Styela clava: one gene and its partner. The protein of the gene in region 1 interacts with the protein of each later gene in a biochemical or structural test. Links are inferred from orthologs where the notes say so. Each region holds a gene or a part of one and is shown on either strand. Other genes may lie near its edges. The genes, in order: uncharacterized protein LOC120328357 and polyglutamine-binding protein 1-like.

Evidence for each region.
Region 2: the proteins of uncharacterized protein LOC120328357 (region 1) and polyglutamine-binding protein 1-like form a complex in vitro, tested with the Homo sapiens proteins (2 studies listed by BioGRID and IntAct, with this or other methods). The link is inferred for Styela clava from reciprocal best matches to the Homo sapiens genes WBP11 and PQBP1.

The regions. Positions count from the first base shown.
Region 1 is NC_135256.1:13,376,515-13,382,956, forward strand, and holds uncharacterized protein LOC120328357, read left to right. Parts: upstream 1-4,004; 5' UTR 4,005-4,094; coding exon 4,095-5,714; 3' UTR 5,715-5,910; downstream 5,911-6,442. UniProt on the Homo sapiens protein: Activates pre-mRNA splicing. May inhibit PP1 phosphatase activity.
Region 2 is NC_135260.1:11,813,282-11,820,360, reverse strand, and holds the start of polyglutamine-binding protein 1-like, read left to right. Parts: upstream 1-3,873; 5' UTR 3,874-4,084; coding exon 4,085-4,453; intron 4,454-5,727; coding exon 5,728-5,970; 3' UTR 5,971-7,079. UniProt on the Homo sapiens protein: Intrinsically disordered protein that acts as a scaffold, and which is involved in different processes, such as pre-mRNA splicing, transcription regulation, innate immunity and neuron development.

The DNA of each region.
Region 1 (6,442 bases):
AGCAAAAATGGACATTTGACCCCCAAACATTATTTCCATACTTTGACATTAATTTTGAGAGTGTTTTTGCGTGAAATTATTGGATAAACAACACGCTGAATCAGAGCCGTAAACGACCAGCGTCGGCAAGGAGTCAATCTTTTTGCCCATAACTATTCTCACAGGATTCCTATCATTCTACCCGATACCCCATACCGCCAAGCAATCATGAAATGTTGTATTTTTTGCTTCGCATTTTTTGATCAGGCTAAATCTTGCAAGCTAGTATGTAGTCAACAACTGTGGAGCTGCAATTTGTTGACATCATTATATCACTGGATTGTTGATTTAAAACCTATTTATACCGATTTTCATGAGTGAGCAATTGCAAATTTTCGGCGTGCAAAATTGATTTTTTTTTTTTTATATGATTTTTATTAAATAAAAACAGTATTGCAATAAACAATATCGTTCAAAATCAAAAAACAATAAATAACAATATCATTTCACTCTATAGGACATGGATTTTTCGGATAGCAGCAAGATATAGCAGCAAACAATTTTAATAAATTCCTTAAACCTCAAATTATCTTACAGAATAAACATGAGAGAATTATTTTTTTTCTAAATCTCACACTTTGAAATATATATTAGGCTACATAAAGACTATAAACAAACTGGAACAAAAACACAGTTGTCAGGTTTAAGCTAAGTAATCAATGATAAAAAAACGCCATGAATTTTTTTTTTTTTCTTTTTTCATTGGATTTTTATTAAATAAAAACAATATTGCAATAAACAATATCGCCTGAAATCAAAAAAAAACAATAAATAACAGTATCATTTCAGATCACTCTATAGGACATGCATTTTTTGGATTTTCATAAATTATAAAACATTATATAGCAGCAAACAATATTAATAAATTCCTTAAATCATTCCACAGATAATTTTGGATTTTATACATAAAAACATAGAAATAAATAAATAGTAATATTACTCAATAACACAGACATAAGAGTATTTTTTCATAACATGAACATAACAGTTTTAATCAAATTATCTTACAGAATAAACATGAGAGAATTATTTTTTATTTTTTTTCTAAATCTCACGCTTTTAAATAGATATTAGGCTATATAAAGACTATAAACAAATTAGAACAAAAACACAGTTGTCAGGTTTAAGCTAAGTAATCAATGATTATATAAATAAACGCCATTTGTATTATGTATCATGATTTTACCATTTTTCATTGCGATATATTTCTCATTGTTTCGAATATCAGAAATGAATTTATAAAAAACATCAAAAACTGGTTTACGCTTTTGAATCCGACATCTATATATAAAGAAACGTGCAGCTAACAGCACACAGTTGATGAATTGCATATCAGAAATGTCATCGAAGCCAATAAAACATTCTTTCATTCCAAGATTAAAATCCAAGTTATCGGTCTTAAAGACAATCCATTGGTCTATGTCAGACCAAAATTCACTGGTGATTGGACAATAATAAAATAAATGCAAAAAGGTTTCAATATATAATTCACAGAATTCACAGAGGTTTGTTTCCACTAGTCCGAATCCATATAAAACATTATTCAGAACTATAGCTTTATAAAAAAATTTAATTTGAAACGCCATGAATTCGATCGCGTGCATTTTTGCAGAGCGCTAGCGCCCTCGGGCGTGCACCTGCCATGGAATCCAGTCTGGGGAAATTGACTACAAAGTCACTTTGCTCTTGGGCCTAATAGTGTTCGGTGATCTAGTTCAGGGGTGCACAACACGGGGCACGCGTGCCAAATTTGGCACGCCAAACGCTCAAACGTGGCACGCGAACGGTTTTGTAAAAAAAAATATTTATGATATACATTAAAATATCACGTTTATATCAAAATCAGCAGTTTTTCAGGACATTAAATTGTTTCAATAAATAGATATCCGTTATTATGTATTATTATTGAAATTTGTTTGTTTTGCATGAGTTAATTTACAATACCACAACTGTGCGTGGCACGTCACAAAATCATTTTGAAAAATTTGGCACGTATCCTCATTTGAGTTGTGCACCCCTGATCTAGTTGATCTTGTAAGTGCGACCTCTGTCTAGCATTATAGAAACAAGAAAAATAGCATTGTACAGTTGTCAGGACTCAGGATGTTGGAATTGACACGTCTAGTATAGTTTAGTACCACAAGTATCTTCCAGTGGGCGTAGCATAACAAATTTTGCATGATATGTTATTCCTAACCCCCGCCTGACTTCGTCATACGAAAATAACATCACTGCAAAGTGGCAGTGACATATTACTGAACTCCAAAGTATACGGATGGTCGAGGAGACAATCATCCAAAATCGAGCAAGCTATTTTTCTTGTCGAAACGATACCGATAACAGAGAGATCGCTGACGTTAGTGAGTTTATTATAGTCGGCACAAATGCCATTTCGGACGATCGTAACTATACTTCAGCAAGCTCTATGAGGCGATTGTGACGACGCAGTGATGTAATTTTTGGGTGACGTACTCAGGTCAGGGGGGGGTTAGGAATATCGTTGCTACGCCAACTAGAAGTACAGGCCTGGTATAGTTTAGTACCACATGTACTTCTAGTTGGCCTGGCTCAACAATTTTTGCATATGCCAATCCTAACCCCCACCTGACTACGTCACCGACATATGCCTGTATGCGAAAATTGTCGAGTCACACAGCCAGGCCAATTAGAAGTACGGTATGTATTTCAGGAGACCTGAATTTTACAACACACTGACATACAACAATTTTATGTTGATCATCAGTAGTAGGTGAATTTTGTGTGCTTGCAGAAATATGGTGGGAGCTGACTGCGATGAATTGTATGCTCCATTGTCATTTTTCTTGGTTATTGTTATGACTGTTTTTATTCTATATGTCCGTACAATCATTGAGTTTTGTAGATTTGGATCAGAGTTGATATTATCATAGATGATTGTACCCCAGTCTGGATTCCATGGTAGGTGCACTCCCGGGTACACTGGTGCTCCCCAAAAATACACACAAGCAAAATCCATTTTGCATGCCGTAAAATTCATGATTGCTCACAATTATATCTGACAGTCTGAAGGGTACAGTAGTGGAATGAAACAACCACCAATAGACAGTGCTGAAACGTTCTAACATTATAAACTGACTGATTACTGGATTACAGAGAACAAGCACCATTCGGCTTTCACGAACACACAAAAACCCATGTCGATTTACAACTAAACGGGTATCTCTTGAAACGTAGGCTAATTGCATTCCGTGTCTGTCTGCACCAAAATATTGACCTTTACCCTATGCAAAATATGCATGGTCGTCGTCAATTTTGCTAGACTGGACTCTGCTTCGAAGCGCCAGTTGGAATGTTCTGTTTAAGTAATCGAACACTTGTTTATTCAAGTTTTTATTTAAATGGGGCTGTTCTGTCAGTTGCACGCTGAGGATCTAGAAGGTCCCGGAAGGTTAGCACTTGTGCTCAAATGTTTGTCGTGTCGCATTCGCTGATTGCATGCTGAGATTTGTGATTGCCCGATTTATTGTAGTAAAAGACCATAAAATCAATACTGGCGTTAGATCGTATTTGGATACATTTTTAACCATAAAGAAACAAAACTGCATTGGTGGAAGTCCAAAGTTGCCATTCTTTTACTTTGAAATTTCAAACCAAGTTGAAAAATTACAATCCTTATTTTTTTATTTAGAATAGTATCACTGTACATGTACCGTCAAAGTATGTTATTCAAAAAACGGTCTTCTTGGTATTTTGCCAAATGTTCAGAGTCTAGAATTCTTGTATCTATTACAGTATTATTAGGACCAAGCAATGTAGACAACAAACTATTGATGGGACAAAATTCATTCATTCTGGGAAAGCAAAGGGTGCGATTTGACTAGTGATTGCATATTTTATTTATTCGATTTTTGTTAAGCAAGATAATACCTATAATGGGTATTCATATGAATTCAAATTTTCACTAAAAATTTCAGTCAATGATTAATTTAATTTACACTCTCTTTAATAGACTTCTTCTATGTGTGGATTTTGAAAATAATTATTTGTTGGCCTAAATACATAGATAACTTTTCAAAATGGGGAGAAGAGTAACTTCTACCACCAAGGGTGGGAAATTTATGAACCCCACTGATCAGGCCCGAAAGGAAGCGAGAAGGCGTGAGTTACGCAAAAATAAAAAACAAAGGCTGGCAGTGAGGCAAGCTGTAATAAAAACGAAAGATCCAAGACAAATGCTTGCTGAGTTGGACACTCTCGATGAAATGGAACTTAATCCATCTGAAAATCTTCCCTATAACGACAAAGTCGTGAAAGAAAAGCGAATCAAGTTGCTGGAAAATATTCAAAGAATCACACAATACTATCTTCGTGAGGATCCTGAGCAAGGAGCTGAATTAAAACTTCTTGTTGATAATTATAGAAAGGATCGTTTGAAGAAAGAAGTATATTATGAATCTGTGCGAAATGCTCAAAAAGTTACAATTGATAGTATTCCCCTTCCTGATGCTCCATTTCAAACTCCGCAACTCAGTGACATACCATTACCTGGAATCCAGCCACAAGGAATTTTGAAAAAGAATCCTACTTCTGTAGGATTTTTTTCTAAGACTGAAAGAAAAAAAGATCCACCAGGACCACCCCCGGGTCCTCCACCACTGAAAAAAAGATTCAAAGGTAATGCTCGTTTTCTTTATCCAAGGCCACCACCTGGAACTCCTTCGATAGAAAAGTCAATTGATAATGATAAAGATGCCTATGATCCAGAGGAAGGTCCAATATTGGGTGATGGTGGCAGTGACAGCGATGAAGAAAAAATTGCTGCTGATCATGAGGATGCAGAAAAATCTGATGATGAATTTTATCACCGCGACGATGATCTGGATGATTCTACCTCCGGAGGAAGAAAAAGAGTGCAGTCACGTGATGGAACATCAGACAATGAAGATGGCAGAGATGCGTCAAAACATGCAAGACTAGAAGACGCTTCTGGTATTACTCCACTTCAAGCTATGATGCTAAAATTGGCTGGTCAAAGTGTGCCAACAAAGGACTCAAATGAAAAAGTTGATTCGGCTGATAGTGATATACCGAGCAAAGATGTGAAAAATACAAGATTCTCTGAACCTCAACAAAAACCACCTCCTGGCCCTCCACCTGGTTTGCCTCCTGGACCTCCCAGATTACCACCAGATGTTGCTACAGGCAGAATACAGGGAAGAATGTTACCACCTGGCCCACCACCAGGCCATCCACCAACACTGCCACCTGGCCCACCACCAGGTTTGCCACCAACAATGCCAATCCGCATGGGCATGATGCCTTCAATTCGTCAGCAAATACCAGAAAGATTTAATAGAAGTATACAAGCTGAAAATCCAATCAATAACGCTAATGTTTTGAGTGCACCTCCAAGTTTGATTCAGCATCGACAAGATAAGGAAAAAGAAGGAATGCCTGCTATGATTGTTGCTAAACCAAAGATCATCAACAACCCCAAGGCAGATGTCACAAGATTTATGCCAACGTCTATTCGTGTAAAAAGACAAACTACAACGAAAATTGGACCAAACAGGCCTACCAATGTTTCTGCTCCATCATCTTCTGACAGAAATAGACAAGAGAAAAACAAAAAAGGAAAGTTGAATGCTGATGTTGCATATGACTCTTTTATGAAAGAAATGCAGGGTTTCCTTTAGATTATTCACCTATTTTTAACTGCACTGCATGGTATTTATTCTCTTTCCATCTGATAGCTACCTGCACTCCAGTGTGATTGGCTGATCGAGTGATCACAAATCAATTTTTCTGGATGTGTGGTCTTCTGAATTTTTATATGTTTTAATATGTATCATATTTAGGGTCACTGTTTAATAAACCGATATGTCAAAATTAGTTTGTCCCTTGTATTAATTTGTGGTGCTGGAGGCCACTGAAAAACATGGTCAGTCCCGCAGTTGGCCATTCCTGCTGTCGTTAAACTTTGTTTCGGTTGAAAGTTCCTCCTCGTTTTTGATGATTGAAATTTTGAAATCTTGTGTTCTTTGTGCACGAGGATAAATGAGGAATGAATCTTCAAATACACATAAAACAGTCACAATTCGCGTAACACAGAATTCCCCTTTTTCTTTTTCATCAGGATGACAGGCAGTTAAGCCCTGGTTTTCTGTAAACAAAATATTTATGCAGTACAATAAGCTCTAAGCATTACAAATGCTCTAAACTTGTACGGTGCACACATGAATATGTTTCTGATTCGCCAGCATTGGTAGAAGGTGTTATATCACTGAGGTGATTCTGGTTTATTTGCAAAGCAGCCGCGATAGATGAGAAGTTCATAACAGTTCAATTGTTCGGACGCTCAAAAGAATTTTCTGGGTCATCTCCTCTGTGCTGGTTTGGTAGGAAAGCATTTTTGCGCCGCAGG
Region 2 (7,079 bases), on another chromosome or scaffold:
AATGACATTGTGTTGTTTATTTTTATTAATTCAAAAGTATTACATATGTATTATTTAAATACGGGTTTAAATTGGACAGATCTGTAAAGAATATTAGTTATTCAGACGACATCTTTATAGTAATGTTCGGAACCCTTGAAATTGGTTCAAAACTTCTTCTAATTTGTTATAAACATTTCGACGTAATATATTACCCAGGTAGCAACAATCGCATTGTTATAAAGAACCTAATTTGTCTTCTGGCAATATTAGTTCGAAATTCCAGTTTTAATTGTTATCGGACGACGATTTTAATAATGTAATTCGGCCTATGACTTCATATAAACTACATAACAGAAACAATTGACTTATGTCGTATAGAATTTTTTATAATACGTATCCAAGTCACATTATCCCCTAATAGAACATAATTTACCGTTCACAAAATGTATAAAAGCCTATGCAAAATCTATATTGACAACCAGCGGTGTTCAACCACGGCTACAATAAAGATATTCAATCACTTGACGTTGCTGTTGTATAATATTCTTTACAACCTGAAGATCTGACTGTAATATCTTTTCATGGATAGTTTATGGAATGAATTTCATGGATAGTTTACGTAGAATTATTTGTACATTATTTCATGCTGTAACAGATAACTGTAAAACACGTAGTTCCTAAATAAGAAGAATGGCTACAGGATGGTAAATACGAGATGGCAATGTCACCTAAACAAAATTCGCTCGGCGAATGACATCAGGTAGCTGATATGCCCAAAGTTAGGCTTAAAAGCATCGTTAAACGAATGTTACAATAAAAATCCTTCAATATTCAACACGCCAGTAGTCAGTCAACGATTTTTTTTGCGTTATTCAAAAAGTTACAAATATATAAAAACGTAAAACAGTAATTGTTTTTAATGTCACAGAAGCCGTATTAAACTCTCGATTATAGATCTTTCTTCATCAGTAATTGGGGATATAAATTTGAATTTATTAAGGAGATAAAACATTAAAAACACAACTTCACAAAGGAAGTGTATGAGTGAACACTAATCGAAGCTTTCAGTTTGAAAATTATTAGAAATATTGAGTATCCAATGAAAATCCTTACTATTTGTTCTATTTTGACATGATATGATTTACGTATCTTGCAATTAGGTAAAACCACAGATCTAAGAATTGAAAATTTTAAATGTCAGTTCTGAAATTAAACATGAAAAGGTTTTGTGTATTGTTTGCTACTCTTATATGTCGGGCGTATAGTTTCTTCATGTCGCGAATGAGCATCAGAATAGGTTGTGCAGAAAATGGTGCTCCCGTAGTATGTGCACAAAGTTGGCACACAACCCGAACATAGTATGTGTACCGAGATAGAGGTAATAGGTTGTGCGCCATCTTGGAGCACATAGGCTACTACGGGAGCGCCCTGAAAATACCCACATTTGCAACACCGACTTACCGAATACAAATTTTACACTTCCACAATTTCGCTTTCGATAATTTCTCACATGTATCATGATACCAACGCTTGCAAACGAAGCATTGATATTGTACGTGCTCCCGTATACATTTCGCACTTTAACAGACACTCCAATTATTATTTTCCAGAAAGCAAAATCCATGCATCGGAATGTCAGAGTATATGAGTGGCGACGATGCAGTGCGACAACGTTCCAAATGTAATTGAATTTTTGTTGACTCCGACTTGTTCAATCTTCCATCTGGGCGTTTTGAAGAGGTATGTACTCACTTCAAATATAAATACTTGCACCACCTTCGGGCAGACGTCGAATTGAAATTAGCGATAAGAATAGCACTCAATATACATCGGATTGTCTTAAAAAACATTTTACCGAGAAAGCAAAGTATAGTAAGTACTAAGTTCTGACGAAAATGATTTTATGAAATATATTGCAAAATATATGGCAACTGTAATCGAAAAAAAAAGAAAAATCAGGCACTTGCGAAATTTGACCCCTCATCACAAGTCCCAATCGTTTTTCTTTTTTACCAAAAAAGACGTCATTTCAATCATACAAAAGAGTGTATATTTTAGTTTTCTGCTTCAAAGTAAGTATAAACATCGAGAAATAGGTTTTTACAAAGTGCCTGAAATTTCACAAGTGCCTGGTTTTAGTATTTTGTGCTTGCTGTTGCCAGATTTTATCATTCCTATTCAATTTCAAATAAATCCAAAAAGTACGATGTTTATGTATATGTTGTCAAATAATATTGCTCATTGTAAAAACGCTGAAATTGTTGTAGAACTAGGAATTCTACTCAAAAAGAAATGATTAGGAAGTTCTAACTCAAATAATTTAGAAAAATTGCTGCGAAAATATATGGCAACTGTTATCGAAAATAATGAAAAATCAGGCACTTGCAAAATTTGACCCCTCATCACCAGTCCCAATCGTTTTTGTTTTTTACCAAAAAGACGTCATTTCAATCATAAAAAAGAGTGTATATTTTAGTTTTCTGCTTCAAAGTGTATAAAAACACCGAGAAATAGGTTTTTACGAAGTGCCTGAAATTTCACAAGTGCCTGGTTTTAGTATTTTGTGCTTGAGGTTGCCAGATTTTATCATTCATATTCAATTTCAAATAAATACAGAAAGTACGATGGTTGACCATATGTTGTCAAATGGTATTGCTCATTGCAATATTAAAAACGCTCAAATTGTTGTGGAACAATGAATTTGCGTTAGAAAGCAAAGTATAGTAAGTGCTGAAGCAAATAATCTAGAAAAATTGTTGCGAAAATATATGGCAACTGTTATCGAAAAAAATGAAAAATCAGGCACTTGCGAAATTTGACCCCTCATGACCAGTCCCAATCGTTCTTGTTTTTTACCAAAAAGACGTCATTTCAATCATACAAAAGAGTGTATATTTTAGTTTTCTGCTTCAAAGTAAGTAAAAACATCGAGAAATAGGTTTTTACGAAGTGCCTGAAATTTCACAAGTGCCTGGTTTTAGTATTTTGTGCTTGAGGTTGCCAGATTTTATTATTCATATTCAATTTCAAATAAATCCAGAAAGTACAATGGTTGACCATATGTTGTCAAATGGTATTACTCATTGCAATATTAAAAACGCTCAAATTGTTGTGGAACAATGAATTTGCGTTAGAAAGCAAAGAATAGTAAGTGCTGACGCAAATAATTTAAGAAAATAATTGCGAAAAAATATGGCAACTATCACCGAGAAAAATGAAAAATCAGGCACTTGCGAAATATGACACGCCTCCATCAGTCACAAACGGTATTGTATTTTACCAAAAAGTTGTAAATTCAACTATACAAAGTGTATATATTTAATTTTCTGCTTTAGAGTAATCAGATACATTGTAAAATAGGTTTTGACCAAGTGCCTGAAATTTCACAAGTGCCTGATTTCTATATTTTGTAATCAATGTTGCCACATTTTACTATTGAAAAATTATTTATACCCTAATAAATTGGAAATAATATTGTTTTATTGCAATATAGGGATGCAAAAAATTATTTAAAGTCTAATTATCTTGTCAGGTAAATTGGAAATCCCAATGACGTACAGAAAAAATAAAAAAATATCAAAGTGCCTGAAATGGTGCCTGAAAAAGTGCCTGAATTCGCGAGTGCCTGGTTTTAGGGAGACCCCATCTCGCATGAGTAATGAGTTACTGTACCGTACCGTAACCTTATCATATTTAGACAAGTTTTATATTGTTTGAAAGACAATCTTCTTGAAAACTAATCATAATTTTGAAATGAAAATAAAATTTCGCGATTATCCTACAAAAATTGTAAAACGTGGAAATTTTTTGAAAATCTTTTGAATTAACGTTACATAAACTTCATTTTGTTCTTGTTTTAATCTATTGCGATATCGACACATTTGTAGAAGTTAACAATAGCTTTTGAATGGTGCCATCATATTGAATCTATGATGCACCAGTAAAATCAGAAAATTGCATAAGCAATTTTATACAATGTTCTCCAATTCGTCACATTCAGTGTGTCTATGAAAATAAATTTTTTTCCCCACTGTATTACAATATCAGATTTAGTCAGTAGTCACCAGCTATTGACATTTGAGATTCTAACAATCAAAAAACCATGCCTCTCCCTGCAGCACTAGCTGCTAAACTTGCAAAACGCGGAATCGTTTCAAAAGAAGTTGAGGAACCAGAAGAAGAGGTTATTGCAGAAGATTACGATACAAATAAGACTAATGATGAAATTGAAGGACTTGATTCAAGGCTTGATGAATTTGGTAATTTCTTACACGAAGGTTGGGAAAAAGTTTGGGACCCGGAATACGAAACATGGTACTATTGGGACGTATCTCGTGATATGGTTAGCTGGCTACCACCTAGTGATCCTGAAGCTGTGATCACATATCCAGCAAATAGTACGAAAACTCATACAGAAGAAAAAAGAGAAAGTGAACCAAAGCGAAGTAAACCTAAATCTAAATCAAGACAGGTATTTCTGTATGTGTATGTTCTTACTCTTATACCAGTATATGAATCATTCAAGGTACCCTACAACATGCTTGTAAGTTGTGACTGTTATGTACAGTACATTGTTATCTGAATTGTTACTTCTGCTTCTTTATCAGTTACTACTATTGAATTTTTATTGGTTGTAATATCCTTGATATTAATCAACCACAGTTTAGTCCTAGACCAATGTATCATGTCTGCCCACTGGATGTCACACTTCATTGATTCCTGTTGGAATTCATAATCAGGAAAATAATGATATTTGATATGTGATTATATATGCATATCATGAAAATTTGATTGTATGATTTTCCTATTCCTAGTTGAATATGTTCAATATTTTATTTGGGTGGTTTAATGTAAGGTACATGTTCAAAACACTGCTTTATATTTTATGGTTAATTGGTCACTGTTATGTGGAGTAAACATTGGTTTTCATATCATCATCAATGCTAACCTGCTACAGGGTACATCTGTCGTCTAGTTCAATATTGATTCTAGTTCATTATCTATTCAATATTCAACACTAATCATCATGGATAATGTGAATATGAGGTCCTCAGTTTTCGACATAGAGCAGTGGTGTTTTGTTGAAACTGTAGCTAAACTTACCATATTAGATATGGCTATCAGAAATTTTAGTGGCTCCCGCTCCAAACGATATAATAAATCCACATTTAAAACTTTTTCAGATTTCATACAAATATGGTAATAAAATCTATTCCTTTTCAGCCTATATATTTATTTGAAATCCTTATATCATAGTTTCAAGTGCCTATGTCATGAATTTCCATTTGGACTGATTAAGAGTTTGGCTGTATGGGGTCTAATGGATAAACACGTTTTTGAGTAGTTATCAAGGTCAATAAAATATCATACTCAAAAGTTGAAAATGATCAAAATTGCATAGACTGCAATCTGCAGTGTGTATTTCTTTAAAAAAATTTATCCAAAGCCCATTACGAAATGCTGCCAACACTTGCCAATAGCAGTAAAAGATATTCAAGATTTGTGTGCCAAAAACAACCTAATTACTTTTGATCTATGAATTAACTATTTCTTCACTGTCCAATTTGTACCTGTGATATTTTTCAATTCATGCAGCTTAATAAGTTCTCCACCCCTATGAAATAGGAAAATGCAGTTTCATGCAGCGTAGTTGTGTTTTCGACGGCTAATTTTCTCACTATGCGTAGTCAAAATTTTCATATTTTTCAAGCCTTGTATGACCCTAATATCTATGTAACTTATCAGGTGCGATGGCAGAAACCGGCACCTGCTGATGATGAAATTGATCCAATGGATCCAAGTTCCTATTCTGATGCTCCTGTTGGTGATTGGAGAAGAGGACTTAAAAAATTAGATGATGCAAAGAGTGGAGTAGATTCTACTGCATCCGGTCCTTTATTTCAACAGAGACCATATCCTTCACCTGGTGAAGTTCTTAAAAGAAATAAGCAAGCTTTATCAATGACTGGTCCTCAAAAACCTCAATGATACTAGACTGGATTTACTTGCGTAATTATTGAAACAAAAGGAGCATGTGTAGCTGATGCTGGTAGTTCTCCATTTGGGTTGATGGAAGCGGTGCAATTTGATTACCAATCTGACACTGATAAGAAGATATCAAGTACACATATATGCTACTTCTATGAGATACAGTGCTTCCATGAAATGCTTCTATGTAGGAATTGTTGAATTCTAACAAATGAATCGCTTGTTTGATTGAAGCCCATCTCACTTATCATGTGCCCTTGTCACATGAATATTACAGGTGGGTTTATAACGAGTCCACATAACAGTGAAGAATCAATATTTTGCAAATGATATAGATACAATTTAACTTACGGTAACTATGATGGATTTTTATAAATTTTAAAGCATTTGTCTTATATGTTAAGTTTGATGTTTAAAACTTTCACCTTCAGAAATTTTCAAACATTGTTTTTGGTTTCATCTGTTTTTCAAATACCAAAAAGCTTTTGTGCCACTCTTCGAGTCTTCGTATATTTGTTTATACCAGACAAGTTTTTAGATAAAATGCTCAAATAAAAAATTGAAATCCTGATTGATAATGATAAGATTTAATAGAAAATCCTACTTTTTCATCAAAACTTCCGTTGCCTTCAGAAAAGTTGGATTGAACCGGTTATATTGATATTCTGGAATATGGGAATTTTTTTTTTCTCAACATGTCACACTAAAGTGCGTATGTGCGAAGTTTTCGTTGGTTAAGGAATTTTTGCAATATGTTAATGATGACTCCATATTCCATTTAAACGAGGTCTTTGGAGATTGGACCCGACAACTTTGGCATAGTTTATTCTAAAATCACTTGGTGTCGCATGATTGAATAGTCCAGTGGTTCCCAAACTTTTTAAAAAAAATTCCACGACGGACCCCTTTCAATTTTTTTAATGATTCGCGGCCCTATGCACTTAAATAAAACATTAAAAGATCACAACAAAAAAAATAAATGCGTCATACGGTATAGTGAAAATCCTTCTCTTCACCTGTTTTTATCACAATAAACTAACATCACAATTTTAAAAGACATTTTGAAATTGATATTACAGAGCGAAAAACGTAAAAATATATGCATACCG